4 linked regions of the Oreochromis niloticus genome follow. The protein of the gene in region 1 interacts with the protein of each later gene in a pairwise test. Links are inferred from orthologs where the notes say so. Each region holds a gene or a part of one and is shown in the gene's direction. Other genes may lie near its edges. The genes, in order: enkd1, pdlim7, brain-enriched guanylate kinase-associated protein and ubxn11.

Region 1 (7,940 bases):
ACTCACCATGTCCCTTTGGTGCGTGGCTCTGACACGTCACACAGTGGTCTTTGTTTTCTGCATGTTTGCCTTTTCCTGGCATGTCCTGCTGCAGTACAATCCCAACATTCTGTGCCATGACTCTTCAGATGAGAAGTAAAAGGAGCGACAATGGGAAACTTTTGGCAAGAAGTCCTTCACCACTTTAATTAACAGCATCATCGCACAATACAAACTCTTGTTTGAAAGTGGCTCACAGCATGTTACAGCTACTGTAGCCATACTTAACTGATGTAAACCAGTGCACTCTGTGCACTGCATGCAAACCAGGCCTGTGTGTAGATGTGAAAAGATCTTTTGAAATGGTTTTTCCTCCATCCCCCACACAAAAGTACAAAAAACAGAACACGTCACGAAAGTAAATCACACAGGTAAATATGCACTTTAATGCCAGGTTCCTTAAAGTCTGGCGCATCACCTGCAGAGATCTATATTTACAATAACCCCTCTCCAAATGCACCATTTATACACAAAGATTTTAACTCAGAAAAAAAACGGCTTTCAGTTCAAAGTATTTCATTTATAATATTTAATATTCATGACTAAAGAAGCGATAGTGAGACTTAAATTGGGCCTACTACCTTTACAGGGGTAACCAAGGTTTTAAATAAAGAGGTCAGTATCTGTAAAAATTAACTCCTGTGAGCCAAAAGTTCTGGTTTTAGACTGTTCTAAGCACTTTGTTCTGTATGACATGGGAGAGGGGATAACTGATTTGCTATTTAAATCTTACTGTGTTCAAGAGGGAGCCAATCAGGAGAAAGCTGGCTTAAATGGGGAAAAGATGCTAAAACATATGAACTCAATGTGTGCACCAAAGCCCAGTTGAAGAAAGTGTGAATCATGCAAAGCTATTTAACAGAGTTCAGGGGGGAATAGCAAATGTAGTAGACACCAACTTTTAGGCTGATATGGCCAACTTTGGGATAAATCCAATAGTAAGTGTCTTTTTTTTTTTTTTTGGTGATATGTCACAAATGAATGTTCAATATTCACTCACCCTCCTCTAGCTTTCTAATATTTTCTATCAACCCCTGAGTTAAAACGCTGACTCTTAAGCTAAAAAAACTCTCCAACTTTTGGGATAAATAAAGCTTGCGTTATCTTCCTTCATTTTCACATAATACAAATGTTGAAATATCCAGTCCATCACCGGTGGTCTCAATATTCATTTCCGAGACACTCAGCAACTACGTGGCAGACCACATGCAATTCCCAATCTGTCTTTGTCATTCCACCCGACAGACAATCCTTCTCCACTCTCTATCCCCTCACCCCCTTCTCCGCATAGTCCATTTTCCCCCCCTTAGTTTCCTCACCAAGTCTCAGCTCTAAATTTAGCCCATGTGAACATGACACTGAATTACATGTGACTTGGCTTTCAACATGTGTTCTCCTCCAGGTTCAGCCTATTAAGACCCCTATATACATTTTTTTAACAAGTATTGCACTTTTATTGTACCTGCAAAAACATCCACCACTCATCGTAATACTTACAATGTGCATACGTTATTATACGCAAGCTGTAGCCAGGTGATAGAGTGGAGTGAGCGCAAAGGTCAAGATGACTCCACATAAATGACATGGGAGTATTTGAACACAAACAAAATGTTAAATGACTTAAAAATCCATAGAACTGTCCAACGCAACATGCTTTGAGTTCATACTGCTCAATTTGTGAGCAGCACAAATTCCCAGTATTTATGTTGCACTCTTTCAGCTGACTAATTTGAGTGTTGTTTCTTCTCTTAAATACACTGTGAAATATAAAAACATCTAAATATCTAATCTGAATCCAGATTAACTGTGGAGAAGACCAACTTATATATATTACAGATTTTTAACCTCTTAAGTTGAACTGACATCGTCTGCAGGATTAAATGAAAGGAATAATTCTGACATTCCCATCCAATAAAAAGCCATAAAAAGGTGCAAAATATGCAATTAGGCAGTTGCACAACTCTAGCATAGCGTACAGATAACCAAACCAAGATAACTGTGTGTGTCTGTTTGTGTACCATAATGTAGGGAATGTGTGTGAGAGATAAGGTGAAGTGCAGTCAAGTTATAGCTTAAACGTAAAGTGAAACATGCAGTTCTGTTCTGCATCAGAGTCACTTTTAATGGGTTTTAATGTGTACAGTGACAACAAAAAGACTTCTGCTGTGTGTAAGCAAGTGTTTACAAGTAGCTTTAGTTTGTACAATGCTTGCATCATCCAATAGTGGCATTAATATACCTTTTAACAGTGACACAATAAGGCATTTAAAGGCCATCAAAAGGCCCGTGGACAGTAACTCTCTTTCAAAGAAGAGCTCGGGCAATGGTGAAATTCTGAAACTGAAAATGATCTTCTTTATAGTTTCCAGCAGTGCTTTTCACTATCTAGTTAACGACTTAATTTAAATACAGCACTAGACTTTGCACCAGCTCCTGCTACATGTGCTGCAGAAAGTGCTGAGATAGGTGTGAACCACGTTTACTGAACTACTCTGCTAAACACACCATGTGAGGACACCACTTCTAAATTAACCCAGGCATCTTTTTTTTTTTATTTCTGCATAACACACACCGATGCCAATAACAATGAACAGCAATGATTATCCAAATATCGGCTGATAGCACTTTTCACTGATTGCTTTATCCAAATAACCTAATAAAACTCTGTCTCACCAGGCCATTGGCAAGGATAAGATTCTATAATTAAACAGGAAGGAAAGCCTGAACAACAGGTTACAATCAATGACAAAAGATAGCGGTGCTAGTTGTTAATGTTCTTTTGTGTTTCTTAACAAACACACAGATAAGACTTTTAAAGTAGATTTATGGTCTCACGTCCCCCTGTCCTTAGCGAACATGCTCATGACCAGATGCGTCCACCGTTTCATATACATCTCCTTTATTTAAAAGCACAATCTCTATTTTAAGTTGTGTATTTCAAATGTTGCAGCACAACAGTGCAATAAATCCCACTTATTATCGCTCATAAAAATTTGTTTTGTTGTTTTCGCTGCATGCCGTCAACACTCGTGGTAAGTTTTGAGAAGAGGGCTAAACTTCAGTTTTTCGAGGATGTTTTATGATAGTTAATTTTGGCTAACTATGGGAACACACAGGCCTGAACTGGCATTAAAACCTTGGCATAGCCGTCTGCGGCGGCTACTCCCACCCTTGTGTGACTCATATCTCACTAAAAATCATGCGGTTGTTGACAACAACTACCATTGCAGGAAAAAAAATCGCAAAACAGTACCTTAAAAAAATTTAAAAATAAAATAAGGGACTTGCAAAAGACTCTTAGAACTCACCTTTATTTTTGTAGCGGAGTGTTGCAGAGTTTAAAAGGACTGCTCGCTGCAGCGGAGCACAGTGAAGAAAGCAGAGGAAACCAGACTGAGCAGGCGCAGGTCAGACCTCCAGCAGAGGGCGGGGCCGTTGTGCAAGTGACATTGGGCACTAAATCTCTCTTTTATTATAAAATGTTTGCAATATGCACATTGTGTCCATGACGCACACATCCCTACTCATTCATTAGAGAATAAATTAATGCCCAGCAGCTGTTCTATTTGAAATAGAGAAAAATATGTTGATATGAAGCCGAAAAATGTAACAGAGAGGTCTAAGAGGTTAGTAATTCCAGTGTATATAAGAGTACACTGGAATTACTAAATATTAAAACACGGCCATCTTCATACATTAAGAGAAAATGGAGGGGAGAAAGGATATATAATTATAATGCCTGAGGGAGAATAGACAATAATTTAGAGATTTCAGTGTAAATGTACCAGCTAACAGAAATAGAGGGAGTTTGGTTGGAAGAATCTGATCAGATTTAATGCTTTATTACACACACCCCACCCACCCTTTCTGCTGAAAACCAAAATCCAAAACCCAATGTACAAACTGCTACCATGTTTTGGGTTTTTTTTCCTTTTATTAAAGACTATTGGACACATGGTGATCTGTGTGATCTTTAATTGTGAAATTCCCTGAGAAAGTAAGATTATATGTTTTTGGGTTTATACCTTCAGAATGGAGATCTGGGTGCTAAAAATACTCTTACTGGGAAATGGATATTATTACAGGAGAGCCCAGTGTACATGGACGGAACCCACAAAGGGCATGTATAAAATGGAGATCATAACAAAATTTTTCATTTATCCATCCAAATATTTGTTTTATCCTGGGGAAAATTGATCTGTTCTTGGCAATTATTATTATAACAATAATAATAATGATAACATCTGAAAAAGAAATAGGGAAGAAAATCACTGTCATATTTGGTGAAAACTGCATCTGGCTTTATTATAGTACTCTGTTTATATAAGTGTATACTATATTAAAAAAATAGGGTTGCTACACTGAATAATTGTTTCTATAATTCCACAAACACTAATCTTTCATATTTTTTGTTATAGTTCATTTACTCCAGTAACAAAGAAATGTGGTAAACATACTCTCAGTCCAAGCACCTTAGTGAAAAGTTTTATTCATATTGTTAAAGCCTCTGTAGTGCTGAAAAGAGGGAGAATAATAACTGTAAAACTGCTATATTTACTAGAAGTGCACTCTGGAGTCAATGACAATGACCTCTAGCTAATGTCCCCTTCGAATGATTGGGTTTGTAACCCTGAGTTAGGCATATCAGGCAAACTGGGTACCTCCTGTGTACTTACGCTGCATGCTCTGACAGATATTTGGTCATATTTATATTTATTTTTGCATTAGCTAAGATTAGGGGGATTGTTAAGATTTGAGTGTAGCTCGATAATTAATTAGAAGAGAGTACTGCTGATCCTGAAAGACAACACGCAGGGTCACTATACCTCCTTTACACAGAGCGACAGGATTAAGGGTTTAAAACTGCAGGAACCGTTGGATTTAGAGGTTTTAGTTATGATTACAGTTATTATTGTGTTTTAAGAAGCCCTGCGCTTTGTCTTTGTCTTATTCTTTCAGGAATTTGATCGCTATATACGCTTTTCGATGAATAATATTTGCCCGGCTGCTCTATTTCTGTGTGCGCCTGCTCCGTTGCCATGGTGAGGAGTACTGCAACAAGTGCCGAGACCTCGGCGTCATCAGCGTGCGTGAAAACACTCAACTGATAAACAACAGGGGACGGAGGTAAATAGATTACCGTCTCTTCTTTAGCCTAAATGCAGCTGGTTGCAGCGACGTTAAGATTACCTGCAAGTTATTCGTGACTAAACAGGTGCGTGTTTTGTATCTTATACTGAATACGTCGAAAGAAAATGTGTTGAGGGGATAACTTTACAACGAGGTAATTAACAATAGCAATAGTTAGCCTTTAGCAAGCCCTGAAACAGAGGAAGAACATGTATTTCCACTACTATATTCTGAAGAATCACTATATTCCGATCAGCTGAATTAGGTACAGAAGCTGCTCTTCTGTATAGTCTATATGAGTTGGGTTAATTACTTTTTATTAGAAAGGTGCAGGCCAAATTAAATCAGCAGTCTTACGTGTTTTTAAGTAACACTAGCAAATAATTCACAAAGTCTTTTTCAGATGTGTGAGGGACCTTCGTCTATATCTGGGCCAATTCCCCCGGATCCTTCTCTGTTTCCCCAGTACTACAAGCGACCAGCTTCAGGTGGGGTGCAGCCACGTGGCTGTGGTGTAATAATTAATTTAGAGTAATAATTTTTTTTTTTTTTTTTTTTACACAATCCTTTATTTACATATTGCAGCATTGAGATATGGGTTGGGGGGGTTGTGATGGAAGGATAGCAACTAAAGTGAAAAGGAAAGTTTATAAGATAGTAATGAGACCTGCTATGATTTATACTTTGAAGATGGTGGCACTAACAAAAAGACAGGAGCCAAAGTTTGAGGGTGCACAGCTGAAGATGTTTGTTTATTATAAATGAGTCCATCAGAGGGTCAGCTTAGGCTGAATGGTTTGGAGACAAAGTTAAAGAGCCATAGGGTGAGTTGGTCTGGATAAACCAATATTTTTGGTAAACTCAAATAACCATGAAAATTGGACTTAAGAAAAGAAAACTAAAAAAACTATAATTATGATCAAAATTAAATACACTGTGGATTTTTGGTGTTTGGTGTTTTGTTTGGTGTTTTCTAGGACAGGAATGACACTGAAACTAATAAAAACTAAACTGAAATGACCAGGCCCACTTTGGATATTAAAATTTCAGTAATTTCAAATAAACTAAAATGGAAAACTAAATATTTATAATAAATCACAATAAAGGCTTTAAAGCCACCCAAAATACTTAAAAACTGCAACAAATACAAAACTCTAATAATTCTAGCTCAAGTTTATTTTATTTTTCTCTTCTCCTCCAGCTCGGGGTCGTTTAGAGGGAAACCATGATGGAACTTTGGCCCTGCTTTCAGGGCCCCTTGCTCCAGATCCTGTGTTGTACCCAGGTTGCTACAGTGCTCGTACCCCAGCACAACACCCCCGCATCAGCCCCAATGCTACCCATATCCTGGAACGAGGTCGGAAAGGGATTGTAGGGGAATTACTAAAAATAGACAGTGTTTCTATCTCTCCTGTTCCAAAACAGAGTAAGTGGGGGTTTTTTTAACTACTAGTTATTAATATTGAACACTGACGTACTAGCTTTTGGCATTTTTTAGCATGTTATTATGGAAAGCATGAAAATAATGAATTTGAATGATTGCATGTGTTAAAAGGAAATTAAGACAGTCTTTCTTACCCTCAGAACAGCGAGTGATGCATGATTTTGGTAAAGAGAATGTCCGTCGACTGCGAGAGATCCAGAAACGCTGCAAAGAGCAGGAGGCTGGGAGGGCACAATCACGCGCTGTTCCAGTTAAAGCTCTTTGGACCACCTCAAAATACCAGAATGTCCCATCCAAGGTGATGGCTCAGCTGCAGGCAAGAAGCACATCTGTGAAAGATGCCCATCCGTGAGCACTTTATTTTTCCTCATCAGGTTTTGACCAATCTGTTTCTTTTATGAAGGTTTCCAGTCCAAGTGTTAAGCCACAGTGTCAAAACTTTCTGAAGGCGCATTCCTGTGGTGGGTCTGCTTCCCCACAGAGGCCACAGTCCAAAACTTCACGTGTAGCTGAGCAGCGTCGGGCCTCCTGCAACTCTACACAGGACCTGGACTTGCAAGTGAGATTTGCTAAAGTTTTATTAGAAGTTCACATCTACATTTTAAACATGTTTCTACAGATTGTTTAAATTGCAGTTACAGGTTCAAGGTCAGACAATAGACTTCATAAAACATAATGCCCGGACTGCAGGAAAAACTGTGCTTCGGAGGTCCCAGTCACTGACAAACCTCAGAGATAAGCCTGTACCCAGTGCAGTCAAGGGCCAGGTTCCTCAATAGTGAGTGTTATTGAAACCTTCAGTGTCAGTGTGCTTAATGCTCATGATATTTCACCACTAGATACTTTTGACCTTTTTGACACCCTTGTTTTTTTTCCTCTCTGCCCTTTGACATTGACACTAATATAGCCTTCAGGAAAGGAAGGAGCAGTGGCGTAAAGAGAAAGAAGAAAGGAGGAGGAATGCTCCTGATCCTACGATCCCAGCTGGACACACGTTGATGCCTGAGAATAAGAGACAGGAGACTCTGAAGTCCTTAAAAGAAAGTATGATTCCTCCCTTACATTCATACATGTAGATAACTGCCACGGGAATGCCCAACACTGAGATACTACACAGTGTTTTTAACTGGTAGATTAAGATTTAGCTGGTAGATTAGTCTTAAATCTAGTGATGGGATGTGCTGGCCCAGTCTTTGGACTGTGTGTTGAGAAATCCAGGAAGTCTTTTATGAAGCACGTATCAAGGCTTAGTTGTGGTTGGATCACCACCTTTAAGTTGAAGAGACAAATTATTTTTTTCTAGTAAAATTCTTTTCTTGGTTTGATT
Region 2 (7,429 bases), on another chromosome or scaffold:
AGCTGTCTGTTGGGCCATTGGACTCCTGTTGGAGTACGCAAAACATTTACACCATTAGAAACAGCCATTCGGTTCATTCATGCGTGAACGCCACAGCAAACCCACTCCTTCATCACATGATTACGGTGTTCAGAATAAAACTCAACCACACATAGGTTATGTAAAGAGACAGACATCATAAAGTATTACAGACAAGACTGAAGCTCACCTGAAACAGGTCTCCATTCAACGTGGCAGGTTCTTCAAAGCCGTCTAGCATTTTTTTAAACAAAGAAAAACCCACAGATATAAGTTAAGATGAACTTCTTGGAGTTTATCCACTTACACTTCCTTGCTATCTGGAGTGACTTATGCTCGCTGCTACTACTAAAGTGGTGTCACTTTTGGTCTCGAAACGGATAAGACTTCAGAAATGCAGCAACACCTGTTTGGTCACCTGCTTGATATTGTCTGGGCTGCTTTGTCGGTTAAAAGGCCAGGAGCACTTGCTCTTTAGCTTAGTTTTAAGGTGCTAGTGTCACATAGCTAATGTTATGTGGGATAGCGTCCAATTAACAAAACCTACGTTGTCGTTGCCCGCAGCTAGCTAAGCTACAAGGCTAACGTACTGTTAGTTTGAATCTAAATAGGAAGCAGTGAGAGTGTTAACCACTTATATCACACAGTGGTGTTGTTAACATATGGCGGTGGGGCCTTTGTTGGTTAACTACTAAGCAAGTTACCGATGCAAGTCCCGGTATTAATATTAGCTAGCTCTAGTTAGCTTTGTTTGCTCGTTAGCTAAACATTAGCTGACGTTAGCTCAGGGACAAACTTGCCATAGTTGTCGGTCTGCGGCTGCTGAACACCGGCTCCTTCTAGGGTCCCAAATGCGTCGCCATCGTTTTCTATCCCCGCTATCTCATTCTCCTGTTGAGCCAGGAAAGCGGCGGCCGGGTCCTCTTCAGTCGGGTGCGCTCCGTTGTCAGCCATCTTTCACAAAAAGTGTACAAGTTTGATTGAGCTTGCTTAGCTAGCTAAACGTTAAAGCCACAAAAATCAGGGCACCGAGCTCTGCAACGTTAATAGTAACAACTTAAAAATTCGATTTGAGTGTTATCTATTCTAAATATTGCTTGGAAAAATAGAGTCAGCTAGTAAAGCATACGGAATAAACAATCTACGCGTCGATTAAAGGCCTTAACTGATGATTCATTATTTCTTCACTTGTTCAACCAGTATGTGTATGATGATAGAGCAGGGGCAGCACCCCGAGGGGACCTTTACATTTTGTTGGAGTTTGTCGCCATCTGCTGGCCATTTGCAGCACAGCACTGTCATCTCCAAGGGTTGTAGTACTAATGCGGTAACAGTAATAAAAAATATCGACAAAACTTATATAGCACTATTTATAGACAGAAATGGAAAAGCATAAAGGTTATGCATTCAGTCCCCCCCCCCCCCCCCCCCCCCCCCCCGCAGGAAAATAACTATCCTCAGCAAAATCTACATGAGTGGGTCATTAAAAGGGAGACGAACCAGACATCCTCACCACTTAACTGGACTCCCTTCAGATCCTTCCTGTCACTTGCTCCTGGATCAAAGATTTCCTCACTAACTGCCCTCAATCAGTCCGACTTTGCCGACTATGTCATCGTCAAGTATGCCGATGACATACTGGGTTCATCTCTGACGGAGGCATATAGGGCAGAGGTAGAGAAACTTGTCCCACTGGTGCTCAGAAAATAACCTGAAGCTGAAGGTCCTTAAAACAAAAGAGCTCATCATGGACTTCAGGAGACACAGACAGGTCCACTCTCCTCTCATCATACATGGAGAACGGGTGGAATCTGTCTCCACCTTCAGGTTTCTGGAAACCCACATCTCCACCGATCTCACCTGGACCCACAACACCAATGTAGGCTGTGCAGAGGGTAATTAACACCACCCAAAAAATCATTGGCTCTCCTCTGCCAACCCTGGAGGCCACGTCAAGGCCTCAGGTCAATCAGGTCCTACATCTCCAGACTCACAGCTTCTTCCCCCAGGCCATTCGGACTGTTAACAAACACTATCCACTATCATGGATTACTTCTCTGCACATTAGTGGTGGGGTGGGGAGGTCAGATCCTAACCTGTTGTTGGTCTTGTTCTTCTCCATCTGCTCATTTTGGTGTACGTGCCAGTCCTCAAGCTCCTTCTTGGCTTTCACTCTCCATTCTTCCTCCACTCCCTTGGATGCCGAGTCTTATTAGGACGCAAGAAAGCAGAAACGTCACACAGTTGTAATGCATTTAATCTCTTCTGTTTCTATGTGTGACAAGGATCTTTTTGATTAGTTTAAACTTTATCACAAGTGTGCTGAAAGGCAGTTTAGCCTCTAACAGAAAAGCAAAAAGCAGTACAGTGAAGCGTTAGTGAATCCATGTGAAATGAACCTGTGACCTTGTAAGGAAAATAAAAAGAATCATAAGAGCTACACATTACTAAGTGCATTACACATCACTGACAGCATCGGGGAAACTCTCCTCTGCCAACCCTGGAGGCCACGTCAAGGCCTCAGGTCAATCAGGTCCTACATCTCCAGACTCACAAACAGCTTCTTCCCCCAGGCCATTCGGACTGTTAACAAACACTATTCCCCCACACCCCACCCCTGCCCACTCACCTCACCATGGTTTGAGTAATCCTCATCACTCAGGTGACTCACACACGGTCTATTCAGACCAAGTATTTTCTTTGCACTGCTTCCAAGCACTTTGCAACTTGTTCTCTAATGTGTGCCTTTCTCTTATTTTTGTATATACCCCTCTTGACTGTATATATTTCTCCTGTTTGATACTTATTGATCTTATTAACAGCCTATGACCTAACTGGGTATTATAGATTAATAAAACAATTTCTTTGCATCTATAATCATTACTAAAAGGCCCCAAATGACCCCATATGACCTTTAAGTAATGGTCGAAGTGGATAGTGGAGTTGTTTTGTACAATTTAAAAATCCATAATTGGAAAAAAACAGCACAGGACAAACAGTTTGGGGACAAAGTTAAACAGACGAGGCTGAGATGGTTTGGATACATGCAGAGGAGTGATAGCGGATATAGTGGATGAAGGATATTGAAGATAGACCTGCCAGGCAGGAGGAAAAGACCACAGAGGAGATTCATGGATGTAGTGAAGGAGAACATGCAGAGGGTTGGTGTGGCAGAGGAGGATGCTGGGGATAGGATGAGACGGAAGTTGTAGTTGTAGTTGAAGTTTTTTTAACACCTGTTTTTGTTTGTGAACAGAAAGAATTACGTTTTGTTTTGTCTTTTTGCCTAACTTAACGCCTGTGGATGATTAATGTGTAGTTATTGTGTTAGAAAGTCCGCTTAAAACAGGTCCAAGGTTCTTTAATGTCACTCATCATAAAGACACGTGACAGAACGAAATGAAGTACTCAGTACTCATGCTGTGACAGGTGAACACACAGGTGAACACACCTGTCACACATAAGATCCCAGACATATTTTTGTATTATATCTTCATGCAGCATAGTGTGCATATTATTTTTTCACGCAATCACACTGTAATGGAAAATTTCTATTATTCTCATTTAAGGTATATAGGCACTTATGCGTATGCTTAGTTGTGACACTGTAATGTAAAACTTCCACTGAACAGTCTAAAACCAGATGAACTTATTTCAGCCTCAGTAGTTGAAGAAAACAACTGCATTTGCAGGTGCTGATAGCGCCAAGGGCACGAAACAGCATACCCATTGTAGTGGAAGTTCCACTAGGTTTCACAGCGAGCGGCGTGATATGTGCTATGATCAGTTTGTGACTTCCTCCCCTTTCTTTGGAATGTACAAAGATACAAAAGAGCGAGAGCTCCACTTCTGTTTCAGGGACTGCGCTTGATGACATGCGCATGATAATAAAGAGTGTTGATTGCGGCTGACCGTGTCTGCGGACTTTCTTAATTAAATGTGCACGACAACACACACTGTCAGTCTAAGTTTGACTGTTTTTTTAAAACTAACTTCACTTTTTTTTTTTTTTTTTTTTACAGACTCTTGCGCTATTTCTTAGTGTAAGGCTCTTACCATGCAGCCACCTGTGTTAACTGTGTTGTTTATTGTAGACGGTACTAGTTTTACTTACTAGTAAAACTGTTTCTCTCTCCATTTAGAATAGGTCATGTCAAATTAAGTTACCCTATTACAATTAAATAATAATGGCTTAGCTAGTAAGTGCAGCAAACAGCGTGTGTAAAAAGTTATTCTTCAGGGGTGGTGTCCTGGATTAGTTCATGTTTATCTCTGAGGCCTACTCTTATTCATTTATTTATTTATTTTCCTTTAGTTAAAACCGACGGAGTGATTGAGAAAAGCGGTTTCATGGCGGCTGTGATGAATGGCTTTAGTAGTAGCAGCTGATGAGTGCAACTCGGCCTCTGAGTGAAATGAAGCCTCCGCCCATGTGACTTCTGACGTCTCAGCAGAGTCCTGCTAAAAAGAATTTGAGGGAATGAGTTTGCTGCTCACCAGGGGGATCCACGGCGGCTTCCTAACGTTTGCCTCAAGGAAGTCTGAAAAGTTGCCTGCTTGCCAACCGACTTATTATCTTATTTTTTAATTATTTTTAATCCGGTACACTCGTGATGTCCGGCGAGCACAGAGAGACACAAGAGGTAAGCTAATGCATCTTTGTGTGTTTGTGTGGTGTAACTTCTTCAAACCAACTTTTCCCCCCCACAGAGGAGGTTTGTATGGATTAAGCTGGTGCTCCAAACTGTGCAGGCTCATGCTTCTGGCCATCTTCCCCGAGCCCCTGCTGCTCTGTAGCTGTGCTAACTACTTTGTCAGAGCCGAGAGTTTTGTCCGGTTTTCGTGTCCCGTGTTGTCGCGAGTGGAAACCTGGCTGTCTGCGGCGGTGTTAACCGGGGTACAGCGTTCACAGCGTGGCCTTTAATTACCGCTGGGAAATTAGTGTGCTGGACGCATTTAAGTTATTTAAAAGAAACCCGTGTAAGCTCGTAATTGCGTAGCGTATTAACCAAAAAATTTCGTGTATTTGAGCTCTCATTAAAAGCAACACGAGTTCCTATAGAACTAATGCAGCAGCGGCAATAATATAGAAGATTATAAATAGCAACACCATAAGCATGGGGATGAGTGCCACACATTTATTGGCTTAAAACTGATGCTTTTATTCTCTTGCTTATCATACAGGGTGGTGTTTAATTAACTGGAGTGCATTCACATTAATGCTGTTACTTCCTCCGCTTTAATACAGTCTGAATAATCAGCTTTCAGTGTGGTGTTTATCACCAGTGAAATCTAGCCTCCATTACCTGCTGCTCCTGCTGCAGGTCTTTCTGTGTGTCGCCTTATGCGCCTCTGTATCATAATTCATTTCCCTGGCTCTGAGAAAAACTAATTTAAGCTTTGCCAGTAAAGAGTCAGGTTTGTACAGATCTACAGGGTGCATTGACAGTAAATGAATGCGAATGGAAGTCTTTTTTTATTTTGAGGATTTCCATTAACTTGAGCAGATTTGCAGGTTTTCTTAGTGGGATTATTTGGGGTGCTAGGCTGGATTAAAGGCTGTGCTGCTAGATTTTCCTTATCTGTGAGCACACCACTGTCTCACCAGTCTTTACAGTGTGTGTGAGCTGCTCTGTTGCTTTAAGAGCTTGATGTTAAAGTATAATTGCTGAGGGCTTTTTTTTTTTTTTTTTCTTGCTTGCACTATGTTTCATGCCCTCCAGAAAGAATGTAGAGGTCTGTGTGCTTTGCTTCATTTGTGGCCGTCCGCCGTTTCCCAAGTGCAATGAACTTAGAGGAGGAGAAAAAAAATCTCCTGGCCCGTGCCAGAATCCATGGGTCGTTGACGTTACCTCTCTCCATCCTCCTCTGCCCCCCCCCCCCCCCCCCCCCTCCTCTGCCCCCCCCCCCCCCCCCCCCCTCCTCCTCCTCCTCCTCCTCTCCCTGTGACTCATGTGGGTGTTGGGCTGAAATAGTTTGGTGTAGTTTTACATTCCTTATATAGCCTCTGAGGAGTGAGCAGAGGCTACGGCTTGCCTGTGTCACAGTCAGGATCGAGGGGGTAGGGTTTGCCAACAGAGAGGGAATCTGCTTGCTCCAGCTTACTGACTCTTTAGCTTTCTCCCAGGTTTGGGCTACCAGCTGACCTTTGAGGACAAGGTAGGTGGCATAGCTGTGTGTCACGGAGACCTGTGACACCTGGTAGGTTTGCGGAAGAGGAGGTGGAGGAGGAGCAGGGATAGAGTAGCAGTGTGAGCACAGAGGTCAGTGGTCAAACCCCAACTCTGTGTAAGCCACTAACAGAGGCCTGCATCTCATGTTGCCCTTTGGTTCTTAAAACTACCTAGTTATTTAGTGCCTTGCCGCCGAATGGCAGTAATTAGTTGCGGTGAAGCCACGATACCTGTTACCTGGCTGAATACAGCAAGTGGCACATTATCCCCCCCGAAGGAGGAGTTGTTACTGCTATTGTTGTGCAGTAGATCTTCTAAATGCTGCACATTGGCGCTGCAGTAGACTGAAATGAATTCGACTCTAACTTCACCTTAGAGTTTAGCTTTAGATTATGACACCAGGCTATTTATGTGTGTTTTGAAATGTGTAAAAATGGCACATCCAACCAGCACCGCTCCCTCTTTATTGCCTAATTTTGACTTGCTGTAACGTGGTTATTCCTAAAACTAAGACGTGACATTATCTGCTGTAAAAGAAAACAACTTGAGTGCCATTTTCTGTATGGTGTGTGTGTGTGTGCTCTTGGGGGCTGGTGGTGCTGACAGCCAGCAGATACACTGTTTCAGATAACGCAAAATAATAAAGGACCTTGAGAACCTTTTCCGGGCTTTCTGGCTAATTAAGATGTTTCCTTTTCCCTTTTTTTTCCTTCCTCAAGGGTATGAATACGTACTCTGTAACCCTCAGCGGCTCGCCGCCTTGGGGCTTCAGGCTGCAGGGTGGCAAGGACTTCAACATGCCTCTCACCGTGTCAAGGGTAAGAAAGTGCACATGGAATCAGCTTTTGTACTTTTTTTTGCATCTGTGCAGAGCAGCAGTTGAGGTGTTTGCGCTCTCCTCTGAGATTTCCTCTAAGCTTCTATGAAAGCCTCGGCCTGTTAACAAGAGTCTGTTGGTTTTAAGTACCAGCTTGGCCACCTCAGTCATCAGGGCTTACCTTGCCTCAGCATATGCATGTATCACATCATTTTCTTTTTTTTTTTAAATTAGGCACACATAGTAAGATAGTAAAGGGGTTTGTCTACAGAAGCATTTCCATACTATTCAAATGTTTTTATGGCTCATTTTGGTAACCCTTGCCGATCTGTTCTAACATGCAGTTTCTTTGCATGACACTCCTGCTGTGTGCTTTGTACTCTGTGTTCGCTCCCCTCCTCCTTCCCTGGACGAATTTTCA
Region 3 (6,904 bases), on another chromosome or scaffold:
GTGCCCTATTTTCAGAGGCTTAAAAATAATTGGTCAGTTGAGAAGGTAGTTTTAAGGCCACGTGAGGCCTATTTTCTTGTTGCTCTGTGACACATTAAGCAGACAAAATATCTGGAATCAATTTCAAGTGTTGAATTTGTATTTTCCAGCTTTTTACTGAAATTCTCAAAATGAGGTCCAAAAAGTTGTTGATGCAAGTGAAGGAGGCCATCATTAGGCTGTAAAAAACAAGATAAACCTATCAGAAAGATAGCAAAAACTTCAGGTGTGATCAAACTAACACCAAAAGGCCAGAAAGACTACAGAAAACAGCTGAAGTGGATGAAAAGGTCCAGTAAAGAACATTTTAAACAGACAGGCATATCTGTCGTAGTATAAGCTAAACATGTAGTATACCCCCTTCTTTGCTATACTATGGGTTTTACTTGGATGTTTCTACCTTTTCTGGTCCCTAAAGTCTACATGAAGAGATGTCTTCATGAATGAAAGGTGCAAACCACTGGTTACACACAAGAGCAAGCAGGTCAGATTACACTTTGGCAAAAGCATCTGAAAGGGCCTCAACAGTCCTAATAAAAATAATTTGGAACAGATGAAACCAAGATGAAACTGCACCAAAATGATGAGAAGAAAAAAGAAGGGAAAAGAAGAGAAACAGCTTGTGATTCGAAGCATACACCATCATCTGTGAAAGGCAATGTTATAGCATGGGCATGTAGGTCAGTGGAGCCAGGTCACTAGTGTTTATTGATGATGTGACTGCTGGTAGAGGTAGCAGGATGAATTCTGAAGTGTTGGGCTGTGCTCTGCTTAGATTTAGCCAAATGCCGTAAAACTGATCAGACAGACCTTCGCACTACAAATGGATAATAACCCAAAGCATACTGCAAAAGCAACCCAAAAGTATCTCAAGGTAAAGAATTGAGATATTCTTCAATGGCCAAGTCATTCAGCTGATCTCAGAACATCCTTTTCACTTACTGAAGACCGAATTGAATGCAGAGTGACCTACGAAAAAGCAGCAGCTGAAGATGGCTGCAGAAATTCTAGGTGGGAAATACAGTTGGTGTACAAAAGCAAAATTACCAAAAGTGCGTAACTGTTCAAATACTAATGGACCTAACTGTATTCTTGCTCATGCTTCTTTTAAATATAGACTCAAAATCACAGCACGACCTACTAGATGAGCATTTTCAGTGGCCGGGATGTTCTCAGAGTGCTGTATTACTTTTTATTTAAATGCATTAGCATCTCCCTGCCCTCCAAACATTCAACAGAGGGCTAGCAATGGGAACTACTGGTCCCTTTGGAATATAATATTAAGAAATACATCTGCCTTATTTGCTGCTTTTTTACTAAAATAGAGAAAGACTGCTTGAATCTAAAACAAATTCCAGTGTGAAGGTAGCTGATACATAAAATATTTAAACACTTTCCCCCCTTCTGTTTTTGTTGTGCTTTTGAGCCTCAGGCATAGAAATGCCATCCAGTAATATGGCCTCTCACAACCTGATGCACTGTTGTACTAATACCCTGCTGCTAAATGGGTGAACTTTGACCAACGTCCAACAGTAAGGAGGAAGAGAAATGTTTGGGATGTCGCTTCCTGACTAGAACTTATTCACTGGATGTCAGCTCCCTAGCAATTGTTCAGCCGATGAGTGGGTGTCTGTATTAAAAGGAATACATTTGGCAAAAAGAGAGAAAACTGCTGTATGGCAGCTTTTCACAGTTAGTGGCTTGCAAGTGCAGAGATGAGGTGGGTGCTTCTTTCAAGGTAGGAGAAAAAGAAGGAGAAGTGTCCTCTGCAGTCTGGAGGGCAAGGCTGAAATACATGGATTACAAAATATGTGACGAGCTGAGATAAACTGAGAACTTGTAATTGATACATAGTGAAGTTATGAATTATCAGTCAGCAGCGGAACGCATCCTAACAATACAAGAGTATCCCTGTGAAATACAGCAGTAATTAAACATGAAGCATGTGGGCTAATGTGTGTGTTTCGATAAAATCATCACCTAGTAAATGCAGTGAATGACCTTTATATTGGGATGAGAATAGCAGATTTACTTTTAAATGCTGTGGGAGCAGAGTTTCAAAAAATGTAATGAAAATAATGCTGAAAATTATCCACAGTGGTATCAGAAATAATTCTAAGAAGAAATCCTAACGATTAGAAAGTTATTAAAAATACTAATTAATATTTTTTTATGATAAAAGTTTTATCAAATGGTAATGTAAATGCAAGATGGCTTCAAATCCAGGGGGCCTTCTGCGTGGAGTCTGCATGTTCCCCCTGTGTCTGGGTACTCTGGCATCCTCCTACAGTCCAAAGACGTGTGGTTTTGGGATAGGTTAACTGGTAATTCTAAATTGCCCATAGGTGTAAATGTAAGAGTGAATGGTTGTTTGGCTCTATGTGTGAGCCATACGATGGACTGGCGACATGTCCAGTGTGTACCTGTCTCTCACACTATGACAACTGGGATAAGCTCCAGACACCCCTGATGATGAATTGGAAATCAGAAGAAAATGGATGGATGGATGTTTAGCTGCCCAAGCTAAGTACAAAATAAATGACAAATAGTGTTTGTCAAGTCAATATTTTTAATATATGTGTGCTTATTGTCTCCTTTCTATCATCATTTAGCAAAAGCGAGTTAAAGGTTAATATTTTACCTTTTCCACTGAATGAAAGTAAATCCATGTGAGCTGATTATCATTCAGTGACGCCTTCCAGGAATGCCAATTCTATCCTCCTCCCCCTCTCTCTAGGCTTGCCCTCTCCACACAGAGGGATGCTGGGATGGAAGGATGGACGTGGAGGTGGGGGGGGTTGGGGGATTACTGAGCGTTGTCTCATTCAGTAGCTGTATGAGTCATCCTGCTGTATCATTCGCACTGTTTGTAACACCCACACAACTGCGTGAAGCCTGGCATCCACACACTCACCAATACGCACTGCAATCTTGTAGCCCGTATGTTGGAGCTGTGCACCTGTGACATTTAATATACCTTGCTGAATCCTCACCAATGAGACTGACGCGAGTTGCATGCAACATGCGAACACACAAACACCTGAAAACATACCAACCTACTGCAGCACCAGTGACTTCGTGGCCACTGTAAAGTTCATTATGGCCGTGCATGTAACTTGCATTAAAAAATTCAATGTAAATTCTTGTGAAATCCTTATTATTTACAATCTATATGCAAGCAATGACCAGTCTATTTATTTGCGTTCATGTGTAGATATGACAGAGCAGCACTGAGTATGCTCCGAGTACTGAGTATAATATAGCTAGCCATCAGTTAGCTTATGTTATAAACACTAAACAGCGTTAGCAACCTGAAGCGACTAACTTCCACATAACTTTTGCAAAGCGTGGTCCTTTTTTCCACAGATTGTTGCATATCGAAATAAAATTCGAAGCGCTCAGCAGTGAGCTTCATGTTAGGCAGATTTTTGTGTTCCCTAAGGTAGCTATATCTTCATTCACCTTCAAAACAAGAGAGTGGTATCAAGAAAGAAATCTAAGAAGAGTACTTCTGAAAATGTCAAATCATTCTTTTAGACTTAATTTGCAACATTTTTAGTTTTGTTTACCGTTTTACTTTTTTGTACTTTCCTCGTAACTATAGTCTGCAAGTCTGCCTCTCACCCTTGGGCACTTTCTCTCCATTTCTGCAGCACACAGCATTTTTCTTTTGCACTGTTAATCTGTCATTTCTTGCTCTGCCTCCCTCCTCCTTTCACTTAATGTTCTCAGAACTGATACAGTGTGTGTTTTCAGAGTGAGGAAATAATGGATATATTTGTTTGCCGAGACACAGCCTCTCTGAGAGCTCGTTAAACACCAGATAAGAGGTACTCCACGGCGTGCAGTGGCAGCGGCGGCGCCAGATAAATCTGCTTGATAAATATATCTAATCATTTCACCCGCTTCTCTTCCTACCAGGAATCTGATGGCGAGGCGCAGCATGACACAAGGTTGGCCACTTTCACTTTTACTTCCTCTCCTCCCAGCAGTTACACCTTCAGCCACACCTCTCCCCTCTCTCTCTTCGCTCTTCTCTCCATCACTCCCCTAACCCCTCCTCTTCCAGAACACCTCCTCCTGCTCCATTCAATTCTCAGCTCCCTCTCTCATTTTCTCTCTCTCCCCCCTCTCTCTATCTCTCTCTCTCTGCCTACCAGCCCTGTCTCCAGTCAGAATTAGAGGAGTCTTTTTCTAAATGCATGCAGCTCTGAGGGGATGCACAGGCACATGAATGTAGTGATTTTATCTGCTGAAAATGAGGCAAATGGCATATAAACGGTAAGGCAAGGAAGCGAAGAAGTGCATGCCTGGTTTCATTAGTGACGCTGAGATAAGTGTGTGTAGTTGCTTTGCTGCACTTGTGAAAGTAATGATTGTTGTGAGGGCTCTTCTGTAGCTGTTGTGCCTCTCTGTTCATGTGTTGCATATTCTGAGCGCTTTGAGAAAAAGGGCTGGGTAGACTGCTCTGCATTCAACAGTACACTATGTTTGGAGAATGTGACTACATGTTGTGCAGCATACTGGAGTAAAATCTGAAGGTTTTCTTTTACTGGAAGTCACTGCATTAAGTTAGGTTGATCATGATCATTTGGTCAAGTTGAACTAAACTGGTATTGTTCTTTAGGGGTTATTATTGTTGTCTGTATTTTAGTGGTATGAGAATAATGAGTTACCACGTTTTTTTTCACAGCCCTCAATTTACTCTCATAATATTTCACTAGGCAAGAAGATACCACAGAGAGGCTATTACAGCCCAACAAGCCCATCATGAGAAAGAAAGTTGCTCTCGTTAAGCCAAACTTCTCACTTTGTACAGATCAAGAGTAAGACAGAACACACGATGGGAGACTCCATAATTGCACAGTTGATGAGTTGAGAAAAGACGTGATGGATGGGTGTGATCACTTTGAATTTCAGTGAGGAAATCCTAAAGCCTTTGGTGATACATTGCCTTTAGGTGGCTCTATAATCAGCATGTCAGCATAACATGATCATAACATCTAGAAGTTAATTGCTTTCACCTCCGGTCTTAACCTCCAGCTAGTGAGGAACCATTGATTTTGGAGATGATCCCTGCTTCCTGTTACATAATTAAAGCAAACAGAACCTTGGATAAAGTGCAGTCTAGGGGGAAACTTTGAGTCTTTGAAGTGAATTTCAAACCTGCTGTACAGTGGAGAGAGCTTTAATTAATCTGGTGGAAAAACAAAGGAAGAGTGAACAATGTGCGCTAACCTTCTGCCACTTTAAGCTATATTAACTCGTAATTAGTTGGAAGATGGCACTTTGTATTTGCAAATGGTATGCCCATGGAATGGTGCTGTACAGTTATCCAATATTCCTTGTCAATATGCAATGTATGTCAATCACACTGATGCAATTTACACACTTTTGCATATCCTAAATGTCTTTTTTGATTGTGTTTAATACTGAATGTGTACGCGCCATTTAACTTCAGTATTTACTATAAAATATTCTCAAAATGCAGTAACACAGTATGCTGGCAGACAAATAAATGAATTAACCAGGCAGCTAGGTATCTTTCTACTTTGAAAACTGGGGAAAAAAGTCTGGTTTCCCCTTTTCTCTGAGGATCCTATAAAATATCATAACATGCTCCTTTCAGTCCTTTTCACTGTATTTAACTAACTATAGTTTTTGCACACAGATACCCTGCTGGTGCTTTGGGACTGAAATTATTTCATTGCATTTCTTTTAAATTATTAATTATCTTAAGAAACTACTCAGTTGGATTTAGAAAAAAGATCATTCACTAGCTGACACTTTTTTTCAGAGCTCAGTTATCTTGGTTGCCAGGATGGTGTGTCCCCTCTATGTGCTCCAGGCATAAAATATCCTTGCTAATATACTTACCACTAATTTTCAAAGTCGTGCTTACTGTGACACAAATGTGCGAATTTGTGTCCAGGAAAAATGAACATGATTAGATTTTCTTTGCTATTTTGCCATGTGATAGGCTGGTATGACCAGAGATGGGGAAATGTCCCTTGTCCATGCAAGCAAATTATGCTAATCCTCATATATATGGCCAGAGGTTTCAAATAATAATGTATGGATATGTGCAGGTAATCCCTGTTAATCAAAACCTCAGGCTTCAGACTGCTCCAAGAGCTCAGTTTCCAACTATTGATTTTCTACTCTTGGCTCTGAATACTGTGAAAAAGAGATGAAATCTTGAATATGGTCATCTCGGGCTGAAGCTCTGACTGTGAATAAACAGTCCCATACACATGCTGTTGGTGAGGGGACACCAGTCAGTAGAAAGTTAAAGGGAGAGAATATAAAAATGATTGTTTCAAATATAGTATGAACTAATGGGCTCGGCGTAAGATAAATACGTTTTTGTTTTTAACTGCCAATCATGCAAAGCTACTCTAAATCTAGTGCAGTACAAGAATAAAAATTTGCAGCTGGAAATGAACATAATAGGTCCACTTTAAATGAGTCCAAAGATGAAAATTAATAAGTGTTGAAGTCTGTCCAAACAAACCATCAGCTCCACCAACCCCCTGCAGCACAACGAGCTCTGCTCCTCCTCAGTTTTCTGAAATGATTCTTGTCATAGATAATAAGCCAAAGCTTATCACCAAAGGCTGTTTTGTACTTCACATGTAAGCTGAGTTAAATCAATGCCAATGAAATTGAGATCATTATGCACCGACAAACCCTTTCAAAGTTACTGTCTCCATATGAAAGAGTGCACTACTAGCCAATTAAAAGCCAGTTTTTATGAGATTTACGAGTTTTGGATTAAAGTAGATAATTGAAACCTTGTGAAAAGTCTTGTATTTTGCATGTTGTACTAATTTTCCACTTTACAGTTATGTGCATAGTAGATTGC
Region 4 (7,458 bases), on another chromosome or scaffold:
TAAAGTTAAAGTACTCACCGATCCAAGTGTTTTCTCTGGAAGACCTTGCGATTTCCCAGCTCCACCTTTAAGCTTCTTCTTCTTCTTGAGCGCCTCGCGGTACTCCTTCTGCCGGTTCTGCACGTCGATGAGGGCTGAGATGAAACTGTTCTTCACCTCTTTCTCAAAGTCCAGCTCATCCCTAAGAGCCAGCTGCTGAACCAGCTCCTCTGAAAACCTCCTGATCTTCATTTCAGTCTCCTCCAGACACTCATTCAGCTCTGCAATGCTCAGGGCCTCCATCCCTGGACCACCAAAGCATATTCCCTTAAATTACTTACATAAAATGCAACAAAATAACCCATCATAACACACTGTTCTGATCAGCAGACACTCACTCTCCTCGTAGTCAGAGCAGCTGTTGGGCTGCTGGACGTCCACAGAGAGCATTGACAGGTCCGACTGTGATGGATTATGTTCTGCCTCCATGTCAGGAGAGTCCTGCATCATTTCCTCTATCTCCTCGATAACCTGCATAAAAGAGCCAGCTCTTAAAATAACCCATCGAGCACGAGTTATTAAACATCTGTGGAAAAGATTTCAGCCATGTTAAGCTCTGCCTATACAGGCTTGACCCAGTGTGGCTGCTTCTGGGGTGAACTATGCTGGATTCTGACAGGGTGTGTAACGTACCTGCTCTGCTGTGAAAAGGGGCTCCTCTGCGATGCAGGAGACAATGATGGAGTGCATGTCTAGCTGATCCCTGAGCTCCTCATCGTCTGACAGCTCCAACACAACATCTGCCTTTCTCTAACCAGGAACGGAGCAGGAGGAGGGAATTTAATCAAAGCACTAAACCCTGGCACAATGAATATTTGAGATTTGCGAGATGACCGGAGGAGGGATTTGGCATTGGAGGGAGGGGAGCCGGGTGGTGTGATGAAGGGAAAAATGAGACAGAGATAGGATGGGATGGGCCAGAAGAGGTGGAATCACTCACGGGTTTCTCCTCCAGGTTGATTGCGGGAACGTGGAGGGCGTGCGTTCGAGAACGTTTCCAGTCCACGGGCATCACATGTCCGTAGTTAGCCGTCAAAGTGTTCCAGATTCTGAGGGGACACGAGACTTTCATTACAAACCACATACTCTGCGGATTTCATTTGCAGCTGCCTGAACATGTTGCCAATGGGGTCTAAGCCTGGATCTGATGACTGTAAACATCTTAGGATCTGTGTTACAAACTAAGTATGTCAAGGTTGAAATCAATCAAAATAAACATATGAACTGCAAAAAGAATGAGGGTAATTATAATTTGAGAATAAAACTACATCTTCCTGAGGTACATATTAGGATCTGCTTCATCTTTTCTTTGCATTTTTAAAGATTATTTTCTCATTTTTAATCATTACCAACAATAGCAACAGTTCTCCTGTTTGCAGCACTTGAGATAATCACAGCATTCCTGGAATTCCCCTTTAGCGATATTTTTTTTTTTACTAAAAACAAACCTATGTTAGCAGCAAGGACGTTGGTACTGACTGCAGGCACCACAGAAATACTTTTTTAATGCCGCATCTAAAAACATAACAATCAGATTAAGCAGGTCTGATGCCAAGGTTAAAAGTATAATCCCCTACACAGCTTATCAGGTTGAAAATACCACAGATGATGACGTTTAAAAAGTGCCACTTACACCCAGAGCTGCAGCATCATGCCTCCTGATGGAGCACTTAAGTAGAGTTTCATGTTTCCTATTTAGGATTTATTGAGGATTTTTCCACCCCCTGACCTCCCATTTCTTTTCAGTTTAACACTTTAAGGCTCAGTTTCCCAGACATGGATTAAGTCTAGTGTGAAACTGAAAACGTTGATTTTTTTTTTCCCCTTTCAGTTTATGAATAGGTTGGGAAACTGGCTGTAAATGTTTTTGGAATGAACACTGGGGGGTTTAAAACAATCCCCAACTCCTAAGTGTGGTAAAAAGGAAAATGCCCAAGGTGACTTTTTAAATAACCAGCAGCCTACCCTAATATGAAATTATTATTATTAATGCATACCTGATAAATTACTTTAACCAACTTTAAATATAATATAGCAGTTATTTTGAAACAAATATATCTCTTGCAAAAAGCTGCAATGTTAAAAATATCACAAAAATGTTGATTTTAGAAATGAGTTAAAAATAAAACTGAGTATAGGCCAATATCGATCTTTAATATAGGGCACATAAGATTAATCTGAATTAAAGATTACTCCGTTTATCTTGACAACAGATGATATGACGATGCCATTACTTCCTATTTTAAATGTTCCCAACATGTCTTTCCGTGTTTTTTAAACTGTATTGGAGCCTCCACATGCGCACTGGATGGGAAACACGCAGCCTGCCGTAGACAGGCCGTGGACTCACTCGTCTTTCTCCAGCAGCGTGTCCTCGGCGATCACGGCCACGGGAGCGATGCTCTCCGTCTTGGCGTCAAAATTTTGGAAGCACGTGGTTAACTTCTCATCGAAATCGTTCACCAGATCCTCCATAGACCGGAACCCCGCGTTCTCTCTAGGGGAGAAGCTGCTGTCGTGCAGAACATCATCATCATCATCACCGCCAAACAGGAGCGACTGGGGCGCCGCTTCGCTCACGGCGGCGGCGGTGACACGGCCTTTCTGCGGCAGCAGCCCTTCCTCTGACACTATGCTCGGATCACCCAGGTTCGGCCAGTCGTCGTCGAAATGTGCTATAGGTGCAGCCATAGCCCGGACCGGCCTAGTCGCCCCGGGTGGATGATAGATGTGTTGTTGTTGTGGGACTGGCAGGCCTCCGCATCCTCCCTGTCTGCCCGCTCACTGCCCACAGCGAGCCTGCGCCGGGCCGACTAGCGGCGAGACGCGGAATATAAACAGGTCACGGTGACGTGGGGTCTGAACAACAACGTGATTGTTAAAAGCAATAAAAACGCATCATGATCATTTATCACTACTGACCCTATACAATGGCGAGTTTATACCCTTTTTGAGGTGGTGGTGGTGGTGTGTGTGTGTGTGTGTGCGTATTCAAGCTCCCCTGAAAAATGAGACTGTCTTCAAAAAGAAGATGAAGAGGTAATTTCGTGACACAGTTCAGTATTGAAGATTCAAAACACACATAAGTGCAAACTGTTCAGGGTCGTTGTTGTTACGTAAAGTGTGAAGATTATGTGTATTTACTCTGAATAGCACCAAAAACGTTAGCTAATGAAGTATAAATACCTTGTAACTGTACTTAAGTACAATTTTCAGGTGTCTGTACTTTGCTAGAGTAATTTTTTCTGACTACCTTTTACTTTTATTACATTTTTAAAAATGTTCTACTCCTTACATTTTTCGTTTAACGAAAAGTAAGTTGGGTATTATACAGTTGATATCCTGTTAGATTCTGCACAATAACACAATAACAGAAGGACTATGAATTAAAAAACTGTCATATAAAAGAAACTCTATTACGAGTTTCTATTTAATCCAGATGTATGGAGCGCCAGTGTGACGTTTTTAATTGCTTAATATACCATGGACAGCATTTATGTGGTTAAGAGACTGAAACAATGGTGTAAACAATACTGAAACAAACTTACTTCGGAGGATTCTGGTCAACATGATTAAGCCTTTGTCTCAGGTTTCATAATTAAAGTGTAAACTGGTGTATTAACCTGAAAACTGTGGTTATTAATTCTGAATTATTCTTAGACACTGAATTATTCTTAGGTTATACAAGTAATTAGATTGCTTATGAAGGTACTATTTTATTGTGTATCCAGTTGAATATGTGCTTTAAATATGACTAATAATGTGCATTAAAGGCACAGATGATCACTAAACCACTAATTATTTTCCACAGTAATTTGTTTGCACAACAAAACCTTTTATTTTGGAGATCTGTGATGTAAATGTGCCTGTCTCTAAAGGGCTTTGGACCAACTTCTGTACTATAGGTTATAAATAAAATAAATGTGGCAGTCAACAGAAAAAGTGTTTTTATTTTTTCTTTTCCCTCCACCCCAAAATTGAGTGGGCTCCATACTGAACTTAGAGGATAGGGCAAAAAAGTATCAATCTAATGCGCTAGTGTCGATCTGATACCAATACAAGCTTTGGTATCGATATTTTGATCAATCTGCCCACCAGGTAGTTATGGCAAAGATTAGTTGATGCCGTCATAATTTCTGCGTATCCATGGTTAACGGCATCTAAACAGTAAAGGCAAAGTTAGGAAACACCACTCATCAATGTTCGTTTATCTTAAATGAAAAAAAAAAAGGCTTTTTTGTTTTGTTTTTCTGTCTCATTAGTTTCCCAACATGACATCACCAGTGCTTACATTTCATAATGCATCTTATAATGATGAATAAAACATTAAATATTTATGACTTCTCACATAAAACCCCCCCCCAAAAAACTAATCACTTAGTTTGGAAATGAAATGATCATTTCTTTATTTGTATTTCATTTTTAGAACGTTTATAATGTAAACGTCTACATTTTATAATTTTTTTCTTATGAAACAGAGGTAGTAGAATTTTAAAGTAAGGACAGAAAGAGCGACCTCCTCTGGGTGAAACAGACACTTCTGCAGATTTCACTTAGTACGTTACATTGTTGCTACTGGAAACGGACTCCACACAAACTGAGAAAACACCGGAAATCCCTCTGAACCTCTGTTATAGTTCATTCTCTGAACAGAAAGAAGTCCAAAGAAGAAATAAGTGTGGGATATTCAGGCTTTGGATTTAAAATGAGCTCTCCTTTGTCGATGCTAAAGAAAACCAAACGCACTCCTCTGCAGGGCGCTCACAAAGAGCAAGGGTAGGTGATTAACTCCACACAGGTAGAAACTGGACTGTAGTTTTATTGTGAAAAATAAACGTATCAATCATGTCGCCACACTTAATTTTCTTCGACCTGCAGGAGCAAATCAAAAGTTCCTTTAAGGAGGAATCTGCTGAAAGGTAACGATGCACTCACAGACCACCAGCAGCACTGCAAATTCAGTAAAGTACAAATACAGAATAAATAAATACATCCCAGCTAGAACTAGAACTACTTTTCTTTTAAACCCCTTAAATTAAAGCTGAAAGTCTACACTTTAGTCACACCGTGATTAAAAGTGTGTGGAGATCTAACAGTATTCATGTGTCCACAACATAAATAACTTAAACTGTGATGAGCAAAATGCAGCACATCCTCACATTTGACGAGTTCCAAATAATAATAATTGTATCTTATTGGAGAAACTGATCACAAGTTTCTCAGGTAACTTTTTCAGTTGAAAAAATAACAAAACAACTTTTATAACCATGATAGTTTTTGTTTTTAGAATTTGAGGCTGAATTGGCCGATGAGTCTTCTGATTACTCTCACACTCCACCCAACGAAGCCTCCACCTCAAATACGGGAGCTCCATTAAAGAAAGGTAGGCATTAACACAATGCTTCCCATTCCAGTGTCGAATATATCTTTTTTTATTTATCACATACAAAATGATTATACGTTTTATTTTTCTAATACTTAACTGCTGGTTTTCAGGGTGTCCTCCGACCAACTTTGACCTCATGTCTGCCATGGTGCAGCGAGTGACCCTCCTGGAGAAAACAGTGAGGAGCCAGGCAAAGGAGATAGAGCGCAAAGTGAGCATGCAACCACTTCAACGAATACCAAAACTGCCAGCCATCTTTAAACATGTTTAAACCTCACTTTATGGTTTCGTCATTCCTCCCAAGGATAAACAGATTTCAGATTTAGAGGAGAAGCTGAGGGCTCAGGAGAAGTCAGGTAATTATCTACAGCAGGCACAGACTTGAGTTCGATTTATGTTTGGTCGATCAAAGCGATTTCATGATTGTGTGGATTTAGGAAGCATGCATGACCCGAGGAGCAGAGATGATCTCGAAAGCCGGTGCCAACAACTGCAAAATCAAGTGCATGAGATGGAGGTGAGTAAGGTGTGTCCATAAAGTATGAGACTGTGATTCTATCAGTGTGGAGGTTTCACTGAGCTGCTGTCGTTGTTGCAGGACTTTCTGAACGATTATGGTTTGATCTGGGTGGGAGATACAGACACTGGTGATCCTGCAGAGCGAGGTAGATCCACCAGTCCCGCAGACCTGCAATCCCTTCGTGTCTTTTGTATCTTAAAGCTGTGCTGTTTTTGTTTTGTTTTGTTCTCTTCTTCAGAGACTTCTGGTAGCAGAGGCTTCCACATAAACTTTGATCTCGTGCTGCAGAGGATCAGAGAACTGAACGTCCTCGCAGGGGAAGGAGAGTCTTTTGTGCAAATGACAGCGACAGGAGCACAGCTGGCTAAAAAGGATCCCATTCCACTGAGGCTCTACAGGAATGGCATTGTAATGTTTGATGGTCCTTTCCGCTCATATCAGGAGCACAGCACCCAGGTTAGCTACACTGAAAATAGGAAAATCAAAGTCTATATTAAACTGGAATCTTTCCTTGGTTAAAAGTCATCAACTCTTGGTCCCTGCAGCAGTGCATGCAAGATCTAATGGATGGCTATTTTCCATCTGAGCTTCAAGAAAGATTTCCAGATGGTGTACCTTTTGAGGTGAGTCTCAGTTTCTTCTTCTTATTTTGTTTTTGGGAACAATTGAGTGTCTTCACAGAAATTCTCTTTGCAGCTTCATGACAGGCGTTACGAGGAATTCAACTCTAGGCTCCCATGGGAAACGTTTCCTGGTGAAGGACAGCCTGTTTGTGGGGACAAAGATGAATCAGCAAGCGCGCTGAGCTCTCACTTACCCGGTCTGTCTGCAAACGTCACCCTGATCAAAGCCACGGTGCAGATCCTCAGAGACTTTGCTGTCATTCTCATGTTTTCTTCTGATTCAAAGGCAAGAAGATGACCACGGATCAGTTCCTGAACAAGCTGCCGAAGTTGGTGGTGAAGGCCGGCCGAGTGATTGATATCAGGAACTCGCTGAGGGCAAAGCTGCAGGTGAGTCATAGAGAAGCAGCAATGATCTGTTTGTACAGATATACAGATGAGGACAAAATTACCAGCCACCCTAAGAAGTTTAAAAGCTTTGTCAACATTTTCTTGAGTGCTTTTTTAAACAGAGCAAGGAATTTTTAACATAACATTTGTAAACATTGTATTTTTCTTTACAAAGCATCAATTATTATTACTATTTCAGATTACCAGGATTAGTATTATTAGTTCCCTGAAAAACCATAGCAGGCACTACTGCTGTGCAATGATGTGCTTTAACGTTGTAATGCTCGAAGCTAAGAAGTTAAAACTGAGAGTTAGCTTCCAATAAAAACTCCAATAAAAACTTCAAGGGTTTGAGCTGTCACCCGAGAAAGCATGCTACCAAAGATAAAAGAAATCCGTTTAGACTTACTCGAGTCGTGAATTATAGTCTCAAAGAAGATAATCACCAGATTACCATCCTGCACAGGAATGGACTACAAAGCTGCAGACCAAGAAAAACT

What was found.
Region 2: the proteins of enkd1 (region 1) and pdlim7 interact in binary tests that used the Homo sapiens proteins (3 or more experiments, as listed by UniProt). The two-hybrid records come from large-scale screens. The link is inferred for Oreochromis niloticus from reciprocal best matches to the Homo sapiens genes ENKD1 and PDLIM7.
Region 3: the proteins of enkd1 (region 1) and brain-enriched guanylate kinase-associated protein interact in binary tests that used the Homo sapiens proteins (3 or more experiments, as listed by UniProt). The two-hybrid records come from large-scale screens. The link is inferred for Oreochromis niloticus from reciprocal best matches to the Homo sapiens genes ENKD1 and BEGAIN.
Region 4: the proteins of enkd1 (region 1) and ubxn11 interact in binary tests that used the Homo sapiens proteins (3 or more experiments, as listed by UniProt). The two-hybrid records come from large-scale screens. The link is inferred for Oreochromis niloticus from reciprocal best matches to the Homo sapiens genes ENKD1 and UBXN11.

The regions. Positions count from the first base shown.
Region 1 is NC_031977.2:25,927,975-25,935,914, reverse strand, and holds the start of enkd1 (enkurin domain-containing protein 1), read left to right. Parts: upstream 1-4,928; 5' UTR 4,929-5,166; exon of another isoform or gene 5,167-5,254; intron 5,255-5,572; coding exon 5,573-5,657; intron 5,658-6,370; coding exon 6,371-6,595; intron 6,596-6,753; coding exon 6,754-6,929; intron 6,930-7,016; coding exon 7,017-7,172; intron 7,173-7,248; coding exon 7,249-7,391; intron 7,392-7,520; coding exon 7,521-7,657; intron 7,658-7,940. Other genes in the region: vdac3 (voltage-dependent anion-selective channel protein 3), read right to left, coding at 7-118. UniProt on the Homo sapiens protein: Microtubule-binding protein which regulates microtubule organization and stability. Promotes the stability of astral microtubules and facilitates the proper orientation of the mitotic spindle.
Region 2 is NC_031966.2:28,750,461-28,757,889, reverse strand, and holds the start of pdlim7 (PDZ and LIM domain protein 7), read left to right. Parts: upstream 1-4,425; 5' UTR 4,426-4,631; coding exon 4,632-4,661; intron 4,662-6,019; exon of another isoform or gene 6,020-6,177; intron 6,178-6,910; coding exon 6,911-7,009; intron 7,010-7,429. Other genes in the region: cltb (clathrin light chain B), read right to left, coding at 1-25, 209-252, 819-972. UniProt on the Homo sapiens protein: May function as a scaffold on which the coordinated assembly of proteins can occur. May play a role as an adapter that, via its PDZ domain, localizes LIM-binding proteins to actin filaments of both skeletal muscle and nonmuscle tissues.
Region 3 is NC_031983.2:14,025,917-14,032,820, forward strand, and holds the start of brain-enriched guanylate kinase-associated protein, read left to right. Parts: upstream 1-3,894; 5' UTR 3,895-3,992; intron 3,993-4,179; exon of another isoform or gene 4,180-4,320; intron 4,321-6,904. UniProt on the Homo sapiens protein: May sustain the structure of the postsynaptic density (PSD).
Region 4 is NC_031976.2:7,542,475-7,549,932, reverse strand, and holds the start of ubxn11 (UBX domain-containing protein 11), read left to right. Parts: upstream 1-4,444; 5' UTR 4,445-4,744; coding exon 4,745-4,815; intron 4,816-4,917; coding exon 4,918-4,958; intron 4,959-5,326; coding exon 5,327-5,422; intron 5,423-5,535; coding exon 5,536-5,636; intron 5,637-5,729; coding exon 5,730-5,781; intron 5,782-5,862; coding exon 5,863-5,942; intron 5,943-6,023; coding exon 6,024-6,090; intron 6,091-6,183; coding exon 6,184-6,401; intron 6,402-6,490; coding exon 6,491-6,568; intron 6,569-6,641; coding exon 6,642-6,765; intron 6,766-6,854; coding exon 6,855-6,958; intron 6,959-7,424; coding exon of another isoform or gene 7,425-7,458. Other genes in the region: fez2a (fasciculation and elongation protein zeta-2), read right to left, coding at 19-284, 378-510, 673-789, 980-1,088, 2,390-2,730. UniProt on the Homo sapiens protein: May be involved in the reorganization of actin cytoskeleton mediated by RND1, RND2 and RND3. Promotes RHOA activation mediated by GNA12 and GNA13.